Linked DNA regions of Anolis sagrei. The protein of the gene in region 2 interacts with the protein of the main gene of each other region in a pairwise test. Links are inferred from orthologs where the notes say so. Each region holds a gene or a part of one and is shown on either strand. Other genes may lie near its edges.

Region 1 (9,675 bases), on a different chromosome or scaffold from region 2:
GGAACAATGAGTTGGGTCTCCCCAAAAGATCTTAGGGCCTTAGGTGGGTCGTAGTTTGGAAAAGTAACCTGCCAATAGAACCAAGTTGGCACAGAAGCAGTCAGGAAGAGCGACTTTCTTCTTCCCTGCGCTTCCTCCAAAGATACTCTGACCGCAGATTCCACCTCCTGCTCGGCCTCAACAGAAAAGAGTGGGCACACTGTCCCTGGTTCTTGGAGAAGGGTGGTTTGTAGTGAGAGCTAAGCCAATGCTACCTTGGCAGCCACCTCTCCACAAATGTCAACATTGACACCGAAATACAATACCGCCTGAGCTCTGCAAGTGCAGCATTTTTCCAAATGAAGCAGAGTGTTTGAGGACCGGGACATCCGTAGGGAGACCAAGGGGCTTGTTTATAAAGCTATTGTCCTCCCAACCCTGTTGTATGCCTGTGAAACGTGGACTGTCTACAGATGTCACATGCAACTCCTGGAACGATTCTATAAGCATTGCCATTGAAAAATCCTGCAAATCTCTTGGGAAGGCAAGCGGACAAACGTCAGCATGCTGGAAGAAGCAAAGACCAGCAGCATTGAAGCGATGGTCCTCCACCATCAACTCCGGGAAGACAAGTGGACAAATGTCAGACGCTGGAAGAAGCAAAGACCAGCAGCATTGAAGCGATGCCCCTCCACCATCAACTCCGCTGGACCGGCCACGTTGTCCGGATGCCCGACTACCGTCTCCCAAAGCAGTTGCTCTACTCCGAACGGAAAACGGAATGTTGGTGGGCAGGAAAAGAGATTGAAAGATGGGCTCAACTTTGGCATTGACACCGAGAACTGGGAGCCTTGAAATTGAATCCAGACAAGACAGAGGTCCTACTGGTCAGTCGTAAGGCCAACCAGGGCATAGGGTTACAGCCTGTGTTAGACGGGGTTCCACTCCCCCTGAAGACGCAGGTTCGCAGCTTGGGAGTGATCCTGGACTCATCGCTGAGCCTGGAACCCCAGGTCTCGGCGGTGGCCGGGAGAGCTTTCGCACAATTAAAACTTGTGCGCCAGCTGCGACCGTACCTTGGGAAGTCGGACTTGGCCACGGTGGTCCACGCTGTTGTTACATCCCGACTGGATTACTGCAACGCACTCTACGTGGGGCTGCCTTTGAAGACTGCTCGGAAACTCCAACTGGTCCAGCGGGAGGCAGCCAGATTGCTCACCGGAGCGACATACAGGGAGCACACCACCCCCCGGTTGTGTCAGCTCCACTGGCTGCCGATCCAATTCCGAGCACAATTCAAAGTGCTGGTTTTGACCTATAAAACCCTATACGGTTCCGGCCCAGTGTATCTGTCCGAACGGATCTCCCTCTACGTCCCACCTCGGAACCTAAGATCTTCTGGGGAGGCCCTGCTCTCGACCCCGCCTTTATCACAAGTGAGGTTGGCCGGGACGAGGAGCAGGGCCTTCTCGGTGGTGGCCCCCCACCTGTGGAACTCCCCCCCCCCCCCCGGGGAAATTAGATCGGCAATGTCCCTTCTTTCATTTAGGAAAAAATTGAAAACCTGGATATGGGACCAGGCATTTGGACACCCGGGCAGCTAAAGAAAAACCTAATGACGAGCTGGAACTTGTCGAGATGGAATGGACTTATGAAACTTCGAACGCTGAACTCAGGATTAACCTACTGCTGTGTTATTGTATTAATGTGTATTGATGATTTTAATTTTTAATTTGTAATTGTTTAATTTGTTTATATATGTATGTATATGTGATAAAGGCATCGAATTGTGCCTTCCTCTGTAAGCCGCCCTGAGTCCCCCCCCCCCCCCCCGGGGGTGAGAAGGGCGGGGTAAAAGTGACGGAAATAATAATAATAATAATTAAGGGCTCCAGCTGGAGGTCAGCTGTGACCAGCAGTGCTGCAGAATTCAAAGAGGCACAAATGGAGGGTGAAAGAGAGAAACATGCCAAGAGGAAGGAGGCACATTAAGCCAACCCTGACTGGGACCTTCTTCCATGTGGAATCCAATGCCCTCACTGTGGGAGAAGATGCAGGTCAAGAATAGGGCTCCACAGTCACCTACGAACCCACAGCCAGGACACTATACTTGGAGGACCATCCTCCTCGGACTATGAGGGATCACCTAAGTAAGCAAGCCAACATTGTTTGCTGTAACCAGTAACCAGTACAGTAAACCAGTACAGTACAAGATTCTGTAATTGTGGAAGGCTTTCATGGCTGCCAGAAAGGACAGAGAGTTTCATCTATGCTGATGATCGTGCCATTACTGCTCAAGCAGGGAGCTTTGAGATGGTAGAACAGAAGCTCTCCGAAGCTCTAGGTGCCCTTACTGCCTATGACAGGGAAAACCAGATGATCCCCAACCCATCTAAAACACAGACAAGCATCCTGAGCTCTGAAGATCACCTGGGAAGGAACCCCTGGAGCATTGCAGCACACCCAAATCCCTGGGAGGAGTCACTCTGGACTGTGCTCTGACCTACAAGAAGCACTTCCTGAACATCAAGCAAAAAGTGGGCGCTAGAAACAACGTCATACGAAAGCTGACTGGAACAGCCTGGGGATCACAACCAGACACAGTGAAGACATCTGCCCTTGCACTATGCTACTCTGCTGCTGAGTACGCATGCCCAGTGTGGAACACATCTCACCACGCTAAAACAGTGGATGTGGCTCTGAATGAGACATGCCGCATTATCACGGGGTGCCTGCGCCCTACACCCCTGGAGAAATTACACTGCTTAGCCGGTATTGCACCACCTGACATCCGCCGGGAAGTAGCAGCCAATAGTGAAAGGACCAAGGCAGAGACATCTCCAGCTCATCCCCTGTTTGGGTATCAGCCAGCACATCAACCACTTAAATCTAGAAATAGTTTTCTAAGATCTGCAGAGACACTTGCTGGAACACCTCAGCAAGCGAGAGTCCAAAAGTGGCAGCACCTCAATCAGTGGCTGATACCAAATGAGAGACTCCCCCCTGGGCACACAGAAGAAGACTGGGCGACTTGGAAGGTGCTGAACACACTGCGCGAGATGCAGAGCCAACCTCAAGAAATGGGGCTACAAAGTGGAATCCACGACACGCGAGTGGGGAGAAGAGCAAACCACTGACCACCTGCTGCAATGCAACCTGAGCCCTGCCACATGATGCACAAGGGAGGACCTCCTTGCGGCAACACCAGAAGCACTCCAAGGGGACAGAGACTGGTCAAAGGACATTTAATCAACTACCAAGCTTGCAAACTTTGTGTTTTGTTTGTTTGTTTGCTTTGTTCTGTTAGAAATGTAATATAATTGACTGGTTGATCTGACACGACAAATAAATAAATAAATAAATAAATAAATGGCTGGAATCACTGGGTTGTGGTAGGTTTTTGGGGCTATAGGGCCATGTTCTAGCAGCATTCTCTCCTGACGTTTCGCCTGCATCTATGGCAAGCATCCGGAGGATGCTTGCCATAGATGTAGGCGAAACGTCAGGAGAGAATGCTGCTAGAACATGGCCCCAAAACCTCCCACAAGCCAAGATTCTGCAAGTTTGTAACAATGATAATTATATGAATACTTCCTCTCGTGAAGACAGAAGCCCCTTCCACGCAGGTGAATCCAATCCCACGTTATCTGCCTTGAACCGGATTATGTGGCAATGTGGACTCAGGGAACCCGGTTCTAAGCAGATATTCCGGGTTATGTGGCTGTGTGGAAGGGCCCAGCGGGAAGCAGAGAAGAGGGGCGCGTCCCCTGGGGAAGCCTCGGGTGGGAAGGCCCGCCTCAAGCCCACGCCGGGCTCCGCTCACCTCTCGGGACGAGAACAGGCCGCGGTTGGGATCTCCCCGCCTCCTCCTCCTCCTCCCGTCGCTAAGCAACCGTCGCTTCCTCTCCATAGGCGGAAGGTAAACAAAGCCCTTCTAGGAAGTCTAGCACCGCCCCTTCTCGCCTGAGGGCCGGCGCCGCAGCGCCCCTTGTGGCCGGGGGAGGGAAGGGCAGGGAGGGAAGCAAGAGGCACTGGCTCAGGATTTCCCTTTTTTTTTTAAAAAAAAAAATGTTTTTATTAGGAGGATTAAAATATATATATAACCTCGAAAGTGGGGGAACATATTTGGTTTGGATAGGAAAGTAGGAATATCAAGGTCCAAGTATATAAAAAAGGCAAAAAGAGAGGAAAAAAGTGTATATATAGTTAGGTTCTTGTGGGGTTTTTTCGGGCTATATGGCCCTGTTCTAGAGGCATTTTCTCCTGACGTTTCGCCTGCATCTGTGGCAAGCATCCTCAGAGGTATTTATTTATTTGGGGTTCTTTTACCCCGCCCTTCTCACCCCGAAGGGGACTCAGAGCGGCCTTACAAAAGCAAAGGCACCCTTCGATGCCTGCATCATGAAACAATTATACATAAACTTACATCATATCATAATATAATTCACAAAGTGCATGCATTAATTATCATAAAATCAATAAAATCAATAAAAACAAATACAAACCCAATTTCTCCTTTTACATGGTCAGCGTTTCGCTCATTGATCTAATTTTACATTCCATTTCATCAATCCTGCTGGTCTTACTCGCCTGATTGTCTGATTTAATTGCCAAGGTGCCCAAAGGCCTGGTCCCACAACCACGTCTTCACCCTCCTCCTGAAGGCGAGGAGGGATGGTGCTGCCCTGATTTCCCCCGGGAGTGAGTTCCACAGGTGAGGAGCCACCACTGAGAAAGCCCTGCTCCTCGTCCCCACCAGCCTCACTTGTGAGAGTGGTGGGGTCGAGAGCAGGGCCTCCCCAGATGATCTCAGAGTCCGGGGTGGGACGTAAAGGGAGATACGTTTGGACAGATACACTGGACCGGAACCGTACAGGGTTTTGTAGGTCAAAACCAGCACCTTGAATTGTGCTCGGAACTGAATCGGCAGTGTAGTGAGGTCTGTTGGAAGTAGGAAAATGGGTTTATATATCTGTGGAATGACCAGGGTGGGGCAAAGGACTCTTGTCTGCTGGAGCTAGGTGTGAATGTTTCAACTGATCACCTTCATTAGCATTTGAAGGCCTGCCTGAGCCTGGGAAAATCTGTTGCTGGGAGGTGTTAAGCTGTGCCTGGTTGTTTCCTCTCTGTTGTTTTGCTGTTGTAATTTTAGAGTTTTTTAATACTGGTAGCCAGATTTTGTTCATTTTCATGGTCTCTTCCTTTCTGTTGAAATTGTCCACCTGCTTCTTGTGGATTTCAATGGCTTCTCTGTGTAGTCTGACATGGTGGTTGTGAGAGTGGTCCAGCATTTCCGTGTTCTCAAATAATCTGCTGTGTTCAGGTTGGTTCCTCAGGTGCTCTGCTATGGCTGACTTCTCTGGTTGAGTTACTCTGCAGTGTCTTTCGTGTTCCTTGATCCGTGTCTGGGCAATGGCGCTGCGTGTGGTGGTCCCTCTGTAGACTTCTTGTCCACAGCTGCATGGTATACAATGGTAGACTCCTGCAGAGGTGAGAGGATCCCTCTTGTCCTTTGCTGAATGGAGCATTGGTTGGATTTTATGTATATATAGTGTTCTGTCGCCGCTGGAGCCGAAATGAATCATAGAATCCTAGAATCAAAGAGTTGGAAGAGAACTGGTGGGCCATCCAGTCCAGCCCCAATCTGTGAAGAAGCAGGAATATTGCATTCAAATCACCCCTGACAGATGGCCATCCAGCCTCTGTTTCAAAGCTTCCCAAGAAGGAGCCTCCACCACACTCCCTCCTGGGCAGAGAGTTCCACTGCTGAACAACTCTCATGTTCAGGTGGAATCTCCTTTCTTGTAGTTTGAAGGTGCTTTTAAGAGAGGATGTTAGGCTTGCATCCAGCAGGAAGCCAGGGCCCCAAAAAGAAGCCTTTAGGAAAATTTCCCTTATTAAGCAGTCTTTATGAGGCTTGAGCTTAAATATAACAGTTCTTTATTAAGGAACAAACAGGCTTAACAGTCTATTACAGTGTTTCTCCACCTTCCAAATGCCACGACCCCTTAATACAGTTCCTCATGTTGTGGTGACCCCCAACCTTAATATTATTTTCATTGTTACTTCAAAACTGTAATTTTGCTACTGTATTTACATTTACTGGACCAAATGTGGCACAAATACCTGGTGAGTTTGCGGGGGGGGGGGGGGGGGGATGTATTGATGTTGCCATTTGGGAGTTGTAGTTGCTGGGATTTATAGTTCGCCTACAATCAAAGAGCATTCTGAACTCCACCAATGATGGAATTGAACTAAACTTGGCACTCAGAACTCCCATGACCAACAGAAAATACGAGAAGGTTTTGGTGGGCATTGACCTTGAGTTTTGGAGTTGTAGTTCACCTAAATCCAGAGAGCACTGTGGACTCAAACAATGATGGATCTGGACCAAACTTGGCACAGATCCTCAATATTTCCAAATGTGAACACTGGTGGAGTTTAGGAGAAATAGAGCTTGACATTTGGGAGTTGTAGTTGCTGGGATTTATAGTTCACCTACAATCAAAGAGGATTCTGAACCACACCAATGATAGAATTGGGCCAAACATTCTACACAGAACTCCCATGACCAACAGAAAATACTGTGTTTTCTGATGGTCTTTGGTGACCCCTCTGACACCCCTTCGTGACCACTCCAGGGGTCCCAACCCCCAGGTTGAGAATCGCTGGTCTATTAGCTCTTGCAATCTTGTTTACAGGAAACAGGCACTATCTTCATAAACTTTGCTCAAAGGAAAATTCCCCCTTTTAGCGCCTCCCAGGCTGCTGTGAACCTAAACCTGACTGATTTGAGTCTACTACCGGCTGAACTGCGTCTCAGAACCGAGCAGACGTACCAGCAGGCCTGTAGTCACTTAGCTGGAGATGAGCAGAGCTGTTATTCCCTCCGGAAGTCCTCAGGGCTGTAAAGCTGTTTCCCTGGAACCCTTTGGGAATCTGTAGAGGCTCTCAAGACTGTTCTCCCCCGGGAAGTCTTAAGAGACGAAGCCTTTGCACAGGAGGACGTTTGTGTACATCCTCTGCATAGACTTCCTTTGCTGAGACTGGCTGAAAAATAGCCCCTTCCCTCCAAAAAACTCAAAGAAGGGCGGGACCAGGGAACCTAACTGTTATTGACAGGTGGCTTGTCCTATGAATGCAAATTATAACAGGAAGCCACCCTGCTGCAAAATCCCAAGCCTGGGATTGCAAACCAACATTTAACCCAAAGAAATAAAATTGGAGCTCCTGGAACAGCTGTTCCAGAACATATAGGAAATAGAATATATATATATATATATATATAAGAAGAGAAAAAGGGGAAAATGTTTTGTTTTTTTTAAAAAAGGAAAAAATATAATATTGTTGACTTCCATCTAGACTTTGGTGGTCTTCAAAGTCTCTTTTTCTGGGCTTTCTAAGCATTTGCTGATGGTGAAAGAGGTCATGGCACGCCTGGGCCAACTTGGGCCCTCCTTCCCTCCCTCCAGGTATTTCGGACTCCAACTCCCACCATTCCTCACAGCCTCGGGCCCCTTCCTATTCCCCCTCAGCCACTTAATGGAGGGTAAACAGGCCTTACATATGTAGATGATCCCACTTTGATGGCCGAAAGCGAGGAGGAGCCGAGGAGCCTTCTAATCAAGGTGAAAGAAGAAAGCGCAAAAACTGGGTTGCAGTTAAACATTAAAAAAAACCAAGATTATGGCAACAAGAATGATTGACAACTGGGAAATAGAGGGAGAAAAGGTAGAGGCCGTGACAGGGTTTGCATTTCTAGACGCAAAGATTACTGCAGACACAGACTGTGGCCAGGAAATCAGGAGACACTTCCTTCTTGGGAGGAGAGCAATGGTCAAGCTTAATAAGAGAGTAAGGAGTAGAGACATCACACTGGCAACAAAGATCCACATAGTCAAAGCAATGGTTTTCTTCAGAGTCACTTACGGATGTGAGAGTTGGACCTTAGGGAAGGCTGAGCGAAGGAAGAGAGATGCTTTTGAGCTGTGGTGTTGGAGGAAAGTCTTGAGAGTGCCTTGGACTGCGAGAAGATCCAACCAGTCCATCCTCCAGGAAAGAAAGCCCGGCTGCTCACTGGAAGGAAGGAGAGTAGAGGCCAAGAGGAAGTCCTTTGGCCACATCATGAGGAGACAGCAAAGCCTAGAGAAGGGAATGATGTTGGGGAAAAAGGAAGGAAAAAGGAAGAGGGGCCGACCAAGGGCAAGATGGATGGATGGGATCCTTGAAGGGACTGGCTTAACCTTGAAGGAGCTGGGGGTGGTGACGGCCGACAGGGTGCTCTGGCATGGGGTGGTCCAGGAGGTCACCAAGAGTCAGAAGCCACTGAACGAATAAACAACAACAAACCAGGCCTGGGCAAATCTGGGCCCGCCCTCCCTTCAGGTGTTTTGGACTCCAACTCCCACCATTCCCAACCGCCTCGGGCCCCTTCCTTTCCCCCCTCAGCCGCTTAAGCTGAGTACTGGGCCCATAACCAACGTTAGGCTCTGTTACACAGTAGCATTGCACGCAGCAGCCTTCACGTGGGAGCTTCTCTCATTCCAGGGCTTTGTCATTCTGTGAGGCCTCCTTCGCAGGGAAGCCTCCTCGCACTGACTGAGGCACTCTCTCACTGGGGCAAACAAACACTAACAGGCTTTGGCATACTCACTGTGCTATCTTGTTCATAACTTGGAGACTGCCTGTAATGCAGTTATACGAGTCTATTATGAAATATATCATACTGTTATTGAACACGATACCCCCTCCTCCTCCTCCTCCTCCTCCTCCTCCTCCTCAATTACAAATGATTGCAGAGAATATCAGGAACAGACCAAGAGCAGCATCAAAGCCCACAAAGACTTAATTGCTTCAACCCTAAAATAAAATCTATACTTGTTCTAACCTTCTGCCAGACCTGTATACGTAGAGTATAGGTATGTGCATACATAGAGAATCCTCCAAAGCACTTTACATTTTTAGGTCTGCTTGTCTGTTTTTCACAAATGCCACTATCGCCTTTTTGCCCATGCTGCAGCATTACTTTCAATTTTAATTTTACATTTGGCCTACCCATAGTTTTTAAAGTGTGTTGTCCTATTGATAATGCTTATGTTATTGTTTTATTGTTTTTAAATTGCTTGTATTGTTGTTGTTGTTGTTGCGTGTATTGCTGTATTTTGGGCTCGGCCTCATGTATGCCGCACCGAGTCCCCTGGGAAGATGGTGATAATGCTTATGTTATTGTTTTATTGTTTTGTTGTTTTTAAATTGCTTGTATTGTTGTTGTTATTGCGTGTATTGCTGTATTTTGGGCTCGGCCTCATGTAAGCCGCACCGAGTCCCCTGGGGAGATGGTAGCGGGGTACAAATAAAGTGTTGTTATTATTATTATTAATCCCGTTCTCCATATAAAATGCAACAAGACGTAGCCCAGAAGACCACCACCCTTTTGTAACCTTGCTGGGGCTTTTCCTGGGCAAGAGAGGGTGGGCAAATCTCTCTGGCTGTTCCCGGCTAGGGTAATCATCACAACCCATTCTGGAGATAGATAGATAGATAGATAGATAGATAGATAGATAGATATGTAATATATATATGCAGAGAGAGGCAGCTCCCCACGTCAGGCCAGATAAGACAGTAAATATTGGTTTAACTTAATGGCCCTCGTGGGCTGAGAGATTGCTGACCATGGAAACAGAGGCTCAGCGTGCG
Region 2 (9,855 bases):
TTTCGTCCACATCATGGCACGCATCCTCAGAGGTTGTGGAGTCTGTTGGAAACTGGGCAAGTGGGGGTTATATATCTGTGGAATGTTCAGAGTGGAATAAAAAACTCCCATCTGTTTGAAGCAAGTGTGAATGCTGCAACTGGCCAACCTCTGTGGATGCCTGCCATAGATACAGGCAAACTGTCAAGAGATAATGCTTCTGGAACATAGCCATACAGCCCGGAAAACTGACAGCAACCCAGCGATTCCGGCCATGAAAGCCTTCGACAACACCTTGACTGTTTATTTATTAATATTTATTGTTACAAAAGTCCAAAACTGGGCATCGCTGGGGATCTAAACTAGTAAAATGTAATTAACCAATATACACAAACCACCAAAATGATGATAAAGGGCTTGTTTCCTACCTTTCTGGATATTTTCTTTGAGGTGTACAATCTTCTTCCTAAAATCCAGAAGAAAACAGGATATATTTATAGTTAATTTTTTATTTGTTTAGGTTATTTATTTAATATCTTACCAGTCTGGAACCCAAATATTATTAGTTATTCTACTTATTCTAAAATGAATCCATTTTGATACTCCAGCCTACATTTCCTGACAACCTGGTGTATTTGAAACATAGCAGTCTTTACTTTTAGAGAAAAGAGGAAGCTACATCTCAGACACACAATAAACACGTTCTTTAGTTAGTTGATGATGTGAGTATAGTAAAAGTAAAGGTTCCCCCTGACATTAAGTCTGGTTGAGTCCAATTCTGGGGAGTGGTGCTCATCTCCACTTCAAACTGCAAAGTAAGTGAAATCTGTTGTTGTTCATTTGTTCAGTCGCTTCCGACTCTTCGTGACCTCATGAACCAGCCCACACCAGAGTTCCCTGTTGGTCGTCACCACCCCCAGCTTCTTCAAGGTCAAGCCAGTCACTTCAAGGATGCCATCCATCCATCTTGCCCTTGGTCGGCCCCTCTTCCCTTTTCCTTCCTTTTTCCGCAGCATAATTGTATTCTCTAAGCCAGGGGTCCTCAAACTTTTTAAACAGAGGGCCAGGTCATAGTCCCTCAAACTGTTGGGAGGGCCGGATTATAATTTGAAAAAAAAAGCATGAATGAATTCCTATGCATACTGCACATATCTTATTTGTAGTGCAAAAAAATTAAAAACAATGAAATACTTAAAATGAAGAACAATCTGAACAAATATAAATGTATTAGTATTTCAATGGGAAATGTGGGCCTGCTTTTGGCTGATGAGATAGGGTTGGTGTTGTTGTTGTTGTGTGCTTTTGAGTCATTATAGACTTAAGCTGACCCTGAGTGAGGGCCGGGTAAATGACCTTGGAGGGCCGCATCTGGCCCCCGGGCCTTAGTTTGAGGACCCCTGCTCTAAGCTATGTGAAAACTAACTGCCCCCTAACTGAGTGCAGAGGCTAGAAAGTTTACATTTTTAGATATGATAATAATAATAATGATTATCTTTATACTCTGCCCTTTCCCCAGAAGTGGATGACAAACAACACAATCCCCTGTCAACATGGCACAGATTACTCTGTGGAACTAGTTTTTTAGGCTGTAGGATAATGAGAGCTACAGTGCAATGAGGCATGTTTTCAAAGCTCTGTCTAGTTTCAACTGAGATGCGATTTGTATTATGCAGTAGAGTCAAACCTGGAATGTGCACAGAAGCCATCTTGATCAATGAAGGCAGGATCCTCCATAAACCATTATAACCTGGGAGCTATGGGTATTAGTGGCCCATAGAAGTGTGCAAACAAGCTCCAACTTACCCAGTTTTCTGCACCTGAAGTGGCATTCTACGAACCTTCCCCAGAGAAGAGAGAGGCGAAGTCATGGTTTATCTTGAACACAGTTTCATATACTAGGGATGCAGGAAGAGAAAATGTACTGAAATTTGCAATCAATATGTGAAACTTGGAACTGAACACAATGGGGGCAATGCTAACTTTTGATGGAATAAAACTCTTATAATACATCTGATCTTATAATACATCTGATGGGGTCAGAAATGAACTTGGCATCCCTTTCTGTCTGGCATTTATGGCACTAAATGTATGAAGAGAAATGTATGGGGTCCATTTCCCCAGATGTGCGTATTATCCCCAGTTGACATACACTTTCAGAGAGAGAGAGAGAAGGAAGGAGGAAAGAGGGAAGGAAAAAAGGACAAAAGGCTAGAAGGGAAGGAAGGAGGAAGGGAGAAAGAGGGAGATAATGCACTGAGCTGCATTATATATATACATCTATATCAGGCCTGGGACAAACTGGGGACAGTTCCATTTTGTCTCCTGCATATGCCATCAGTTGGGGACCCCTCCTCCCCCCATCAACAACTGCCGCTCTGGGCCAGAGTGAAGAGAGAGGGGGCCAGGGGACAGTTCCATCTTGTCTCCTGCATATGTCATCAGTTCGGGACCCCCCCCCCCCCCAGCACCAACTGCCGCTCTGGGCCTGCACATGTCATCAGTTGGGGACCCCTCCCCCCAACACCAACTGCCACTCTGGGCCAGAGTAAAGAGAGAGGGGGCCAGGGGACAGTCCCATCTTGTCTCCTGCATATGTCATCAGTTGGGGACCCCTCTCCCCAACACCAACTGCCACTCTGGGCCAGAGTGAAGAGAGGGGGGGGGGCAGGTGATAGTACCATCTTGTCTCCTGCATATGTCATCAGTTGGGGACCCCTCCCCCAACACCAACTGCCAGTCTGGGCCAGAGTGAAGAGAGAGGGGGCCAGGGGACAGTCCCATTTTGTCTCCTGCATATGTCATCAGTTGGGGACCCCTCCCCCCAACACCAACTGCTGCTCTGGGCCAGAGTGAAGAGAGAGGGGGCCAGGGGATAGTCCCATCTTGTCTCCTGTGCTATGCTAATAATATAATATAATGTAATATAATATAATATATTATATTATATATACATATAATATTTATTATATTAATATAATATAATAATGATATGATATTATTATTATTATATATTTATATTACATGTAATATTACTAATAATATTACAATACAATGGTATAGTACTATATAGTAATATTTAATACTGATATTGTACTATGCTAATAATATAATATATTGTATGTATATATATCTTGTGAGCCGCTCTGACTTCCCTTAGGGGTGAGAAGGGCGGCATATAAATGTCGTAAATAAAACAAACAGACAAAAAATATAATGCAGCTTAATGCACTGAACTGCACTATACACACACGCACACACACACACACAGGAGACGTAATGGGGCGGCTCAACCCATTACGCAAAGTAAGCATTTGCAGTATAGTTGATTTTGCCCAGGGGCGCTCTTGAGGTGCTCTTGGGGGAAAATAGACCTTTACATATGCGAGTTGTAGTTACTGGGAAGTATAGTTCACCTACAATCAAAGAGCATTCTGAACTCCACCAATGATAGAATTGAACCAAATATGGCACACAGAACTCCTATGATGAACAGAATATATATATCAGTGATTGGTTGGGGGGGGGCAAAATGCTGTTTGCTTACCAATGAAAATTTCCTAGGGCCGCCTCTGTATGTATGTATGTGTACACATACACACACACACATCTATACCAGGCCTGGGCCAACTTGGGCCCTCCAAGATGTCTTGGACTTCAACTCCCACAATTCCTAACAGCCAGTGAGTTGAAGTCCAAAACACCTGGAAGAATGGCCCACGTTGGCCTAGGCCTGTGGGGAACTCCTTTAGCATTCTCTGCCTAAGACTACTGCAGCTGCACTACCAAGCTACAATCCCTAGGATTTCCTACCAGTGAGCCACCTAAACTGCAATACTTCTGCAGTGTAGATGCACCTTAAGAGAGAGAGAGAGAGAGAGCGCAAACTCATTGGAGGCAGAGGCTTTTGTCAAAAGACTCACCCACCCTTCCTAAAGGAGGCTTCAGGCTGCTGCCGGCATCTTGTTTGCCCTCAGTTGCTAGGCAACCGAAGCCGGGCCTGCTCAGTGCTCAGGCCTTTCTAACTGGCTTTGTTTTTTTGAGGGGCATGTTTACTAACAACATTATTTAAGCTGCTTTTTATGATGTCAGAAGCATCACAGCCTGTCAAAAGGAGTTTCAGTATACATCAGGAGGAATGCAGTTCACTGCCAAGGCTCATTGCATAACAGGAACTGTGCGTTTGTGCAGCCCTCTCTGTACAACAATGGTTCTGCTTCACCAAACAGGCACTGCTTGACTATCATTGCAGCACACCCAAATATCTGGGAATTACCCTGGACCGTGCTCTGACCTACAAGAAGCACTGCTTGAATATCAAGCCAAAAGGGAGTTCTAGAAACAATCTATATATATAAAGATGTTCTGTGCATAATGAATAGCTTAAAAACAAAAGAACCAACGAACGAAATCACACCAAATTTGGCAGCAAAACGTCTCACAACACAAGGAGTGACCATCACTCAAAAAATTATGATTTTGCCATTTGGGAGTTGTAGTTGCTGGGATTTATAATTCACCTACAATCGAAAAGCATTCTGAACTCCATCAATGATGGAATTGAACCAAACTTGGCACACAGAACTCCCATGACCAGCAGAAAATACTGGAAGGGTTTGGTGGGCATTGACGTTGAGTTTGGGAGTTGTAGTTCACTAACATCCAGAGAGCACTGTGGACTCAAACAATGATGGATCTGGACCAAACTTGCCACAAGCACTCAATACGCCCAAACATGAACACAGATGGAGTTTGGGGGGAATAGACCTTGACATTTGGGAGCTGTAGTCACTGGGATTTACAGTTCACCAACAAAGAGCATTCTGAACCCCACGAACGACAGAATCAGGGTAAACTTCCCACATAGAACCCCCATGACCAACAGAAAATACTTAAGGCCATCCAATCCAACTCCCTTCACCAGGGAGCCCCCGGTGGCGCAGTGGGTTAAACCCCTGTGCTGGCAGGACTGAAGATCGACAGGTTGCAGGTTCGTATCCAGGGAGGGGCGGATGAGCTCCCTCTATCAGCTCCAGCTCCTCATGCAGGGACATGAGAGAAGCCTCCCACAAGGATGATAAAACATCAAATCATCCAGGCGTCCCCTGGGCAATGTCCTTGCAGACGGCCAATTCTCTCATACCAGAAGCGACTTGCAATTTCTCAAGTCGCTCCTGACACAATAAAAAAAATAAAACAGGGCAAGAAAACATAATCAAAGTCCTCCTGACAAAGAGCCATCCAGCCATAGATATAGATAGATAGATATGATTCACACACAGATATAGTATAATAGATTTGAAAGGGACCCCTGAAGAAGGACAATGATATCTTGCATGTCCCAGAGTAGGCAAACCAGACACTCTCCACATCAACACTAACAAAGACAAAGCAAGAAATACTGTTTACCCATAAGCATAAAGAAATTACATATATTAGAAACTAACACTTTCTCATTACTTTATTCTCCAGATCAACAGACTGGGCCACAGCGTGGCAGGGGACGGCTAGTATTGTATGAAAGCTGACTGGCACAAGCTGGGAATCACAACCAGGCACATTGAAGACATTGGCCCTTGCGCTGAGTATGCATGCCCAGTATGGAACGCATCTTTCCACATTAAAACAGTGGATGTGGCTCTTAATGAGACATGCTGCACTATCACAGGATGTCTTGACCCTACACCGTTAGAGAAATTATACTATTTAGTTGGTATTGCACCACCTGGTAGCCGTCGGGAAGTAGCAGCCAGTAATGAAATGACATCTTCAGCCCAAGTTTGTCCATGCCTGGGCTAGACCCCTCTTTCATATAATATACTAGCCGCCCCCTGCCACGTGTTGCTGTGGCCCAGTCTGGTGATCTGGAAAATAAAGTAATGAGAAAGTGTTGGTTGGTAATGTTTCTAATTTCTTTATGCTTGTAGGTAAACAGCATTTCTTGTTGTTTCTTTTTGTTGTTGTTGTTATTTCATTATCATTTTTAATTTTTTATTGTGCCTTTAATTGAAGAAGATAAAACATTGAAAGTGTGAGAACAATTTTCAAATAGCAAAGTTAGAAAAAGAAAGAATAAAGAGTTGTTTCTTAGAGATTGTCTGGTTTGCCTGCTCTGGAACATGCAACATATAATTGTCCTTCTTTAGGGGTCCCTTTCAAATCTATGATACTATATCTGTCATATACATATGTGTGTGAATCATATATATCTATCTATATCTTTGGCTGGATGGCTCTTTATCAGGAAGGCTTTATGTTTTCTTGCCCTGGTGAAGGGAGTTTGACTGGATGGTCTTAACACAGCATTTCTCAACCTGGGCATGGGGGGGGGGGGTGTCAGAGGGATCACCAAAGATCACCATGTTGGTCATGAGGGTTCTGTGTGGCAAGTTTGGCCCAATTCTATCGTTGTTGGGGTTCGAAATGCTCTTTGATAGTAGGTGAACTATAAATCCCAGTAACCCAAATGTAAAGGTCTATTTCCCCCCAAACTCCATCTGTGTTTATATTTGGGCATACTGAATATTTGCGGCAAGTTTGGTCCAGATCCATCATTGTTTGATTCCACATCGATCTCTGGATGTAGGTGAACTACAACTCCAAAACTCAAGGTCAATGGACACCAAACCCTTCTAGTGTTTTCTGTTAGTCATGGGAGTCCCGTGCGCACGGGACTCCCATGACCAACAGAAAACACTAGAAGGGTTTGGTGTCCATTGACCTTGAGTTTTGGAGTTGGCTCAATTCCAATTCCACCAAAATCATATTTTTTTGGTGTGATGTTCAAAATCCAAAAATCGTGGATCAATCCTCCCCAAACCCTACCAGTATTCACAGTTGGCTATGTTGGGTCTGTCCGCCAAGTTTGGTCCAGATTCGTTGTTGGCTGGGTTCAGTGCTATCTGGATGTGGGTGAACTATAACTCCCAGAGATCAAGGTCAATCATTCCCAAACTCTGCCTTTATTCACAGTCCATAATTGGTGGTGGTGGTGGCGGTGGTAGTGGGAGGTCACAGTTCCTCTAGATGCGAGTAAACTACAACTCTCTAAAATCAAGGTAATTTTTCCCCAATCCCCTCCAGTATGTTCAGTTGGTTATAGGGGGTCTAAAGAAACAAATCATTATGATGATGTTTATTTATATCATGCTTTTTCTCTCCACAAGGAGACTCAAAGTGGCTAATATTAAAAACATTACAATATAATTTCAAATATACAAATATTAAAACAGTATTAAACATCATTAGTATTAAAAACTATTTAGTCAAATCCATTAAAAAACCACAGCCGCCCCTGACAAGACTTTTAGAAACACATGCATACATCAATTGTGATAACAACATGTCTGGAGTCACAACATATTTCATGAAAATGTTTCATTTATATATTTAAAATATATGATTTATTGTTTATTTCACATGGATCCAGACGTTTCTCATTACGTTTGAGAGACACACCTACACACTGCAGCCAACATAGTTTGGACAGCTCTGTACTAGATTATGGATACTAATACTTGTACCAATAGCATTTCTAATATTTCAAAGCAGAGAATGGAGGGTATCACTTATAATGTTGAAGCCCAGATGTTTCTGTATGTAGGAATGTGTCATTCAAAAGCATGAAGTTTTTCTTCCTGTCAACTAGTATGTGTGTTCTGTCGCCACTGGGCTTGAAACGAAGTGCTTTTAAAACAGGATGTGCAACTTTAGCCCAACGGGAAGCCAAGGGGCCCGAAGAGAAGCCCTTAGAGAATTTGCCCCCATTAAACAGTCTTTAGAAGGCTTGAGCTTAAATACAACAAAGTCTTTTATTGATGAACAATTAAACAGAAACTTCTTTTGTCTTCAAAGATTAAACAAATGCTTCCAGACTTCAAACAACTGGTGGCTTCTAACTGTTTCTTTGCTTTACTTTCAAGGAAAAATCCCTTTCTAGCTCCTCCCAGGCTAACTGTGAACCTAAGCCTGACTGATGTGAGTCCACTACCGGGCTGAACTGCGTCTCAAAACCGAGTGGACGTACCAGTAGGCCTGTAGTCACTTAGCTGGAGTTCTTGGTGTTTAAAGCTGTTATTCCCTCCGAAATTCCTCAGGGCTGTAAGGCTGTTTCCCTGGAACCTTTGGGAATCTTTAGATGCTCTTAAGACTGTTCTCCCCCGGGAAGTCGTAAGGGTTGAAGCCTTTGTACAGGAGAAAGTCTGTACACGTCCTGTACATTGACTTCCTAGCTGAGACTAACAGAAAAATGGCCCCCTTCCCTTCCCAATTGCCCTGAGCAAGGGGCGGGACCAAACTCAACGATGATGGACAGGTGGCTTGCCCTATAACTGCAACCAAAAGAAGCCACCTATCTGCAGAGTCTCTGAAACTTAGGACTACAAACAAACATTCGATGCAAAGCAAACAAAATTGGAGCTCCTGGTACAGCTGTGCCAGAGTCTTGGAAGCTGAGTGCCAGAGCTGAGCCTTGGAAGACCAGTGCTGGATCACACCAAAAGCCCGATGGCACTGAACTCTGTTCTTACCAAGAGCAATCGGAGACATCTGGAAAGCCCAAAGGCAGGGCACTGTATTTTCAGCAACGACTATTAAGTGTGTTTCCTGTTCTTTGGGTGGAAATACAAATGCGTTGATGTTGTTTAGGACTTTTACAAAGCTTGGAGTTCCCCCAAACCTGCCACTGCTGCTTTTGTTGTGCATGTGACACAACAGTGCTATGCATGACCAAAACATATAGCTTCGGGATCAGAAAAAGTGATAGGGAGCAATTGCTAGGTGAATATTTGCAAGTAAGTTGAAAATCTTGGTGAGATCACGTTCTAAAAAGTAATCCCTTCTCCCAAATCTGTGTGGTTTCGTGTAATGAAACTGACAGTTTACCAAAGGCATATGAGAAATTATAGAACGACTGTAGGATGCTGAGCAATAGTCCTAATATATCTTAACAATATTTTAACTAGTATTCACACAACATTTATTATCATGCAATTTTTAATATGGTGTAGTGGTCTGACCATTGGGTTTCTAAGCCTGGTCTCTAGAGTCAGGGGCCCAAACTACACTGCATTGAACGGCATTATAAGAGTCTCCACTGATCGTGGAGACTCTTAGTTTCTAAATCATAATTTTGTAATACTAATGATTTTCTATGAGGAGACAATACACAATTGGACAGTATCTTTCCTGGATCAAGTTTAGAGCAATCAAACAGTACAAAAGTTTTGTCTTCTACCAAAGTGCTCACTGGGCGAGTTGGGACAAAAATAAAGATAGTAAAAACTGATGAACAGTTATGGTAAACTCAAAAACTTGCACACTTTTGTTGCATTTTCACTGGTCCTGATTAAGATGCTGCCCAACTAGTGATCTTGGTGATCACCAGGTGTCAATTTGTTTCTGTTTCTTCTTTGGCTGGTTTGTGGCTCATACAATCCCCAGCCCACCTAGAACAAATCAAATTGTTTTACACACTGTGGTCCTAGGCTAACTACCTACTGACCATTCTATGATATAAAACACAAATTGGCAGGAGAAAAGACAGTATTTATTTATCATATTGGAATTGTTGTAATGTATTTTAAAAACCCAAACAAAGTTTAAAAGCTTGGCATTATACCAAATGTCTCTTGACCAGTAGCTAGCCCTTGGAGTGCTTCATATTGCTATAAGAAGGTCCTCTATTGTGCATGTGGCAGGGCTCAGACTGCATTGTAATAGGTGGTCTGTGGTTTGCTCTTCTCCACACTTCCATGTCATGGACTCCACTTTGGGGCCCCATTTCTGAAGGTTGGCTCTGCATCTCGTGGTGCCAGAGCACAGTCTGTTCAGCACCTTCCAAGTTGCCCAGTCCTCTGTGTGCCCAGGGGGGAGTCTCTC

What was found. The genes of interacting proteins can lie anywhere in the genome.
Region 1: the proteins of UBXN11 (region 2) and ENKD1 interact in binary tests that used the Homo sapiens proteins (3 or more experiments, as listed by UniProt). The two-hybrid records come from large-scale screens. The link is inferred for Anolis sagrei from reciprocal best matches to the Homo sapiens genes UBXN11 and ENKD1.

What each region holds. Positions count from the first base shown.
Region 1 is NC_090028.1:44,004,053-44,013,727, forward strand, and holds the start of ENKD1 (enkurin domain-containing protein 1), read right to left. Parts: upstream 3,879-9,675; 5' UTR 3,803-3,878; intron 1-3,802. UniProt on the Homo sapiens protein: Microtubule-binding protein which regulates microtubule organization and stability. Promotes the stability of astral microtubules and facilitates the proper orientation of the mitotic spindle.
Region 2 is NC_090034.1:73,866,008-73,875,862, reverse strand, and holds the start of UBXN11 (UBX domain-containing protein 11), read right to left. Parts: upstream 3,962-9,855; 5' UTR 3,904-3,961; exon of another isoform or gene 3,900-3,903; intron 1,875-3,899; 5' UTR 1,848-1,874; coding exon 1,783-1,847; intron 446-1,782; coding exon 408-445; intron 1-407. UniProt on the Homo sapiens protein: May be involved in the reorganization of actin cytoskeleton mediated by RND1, RND2 and RND3. Promotes RHOA activation mediated by GNA12 and GNA13.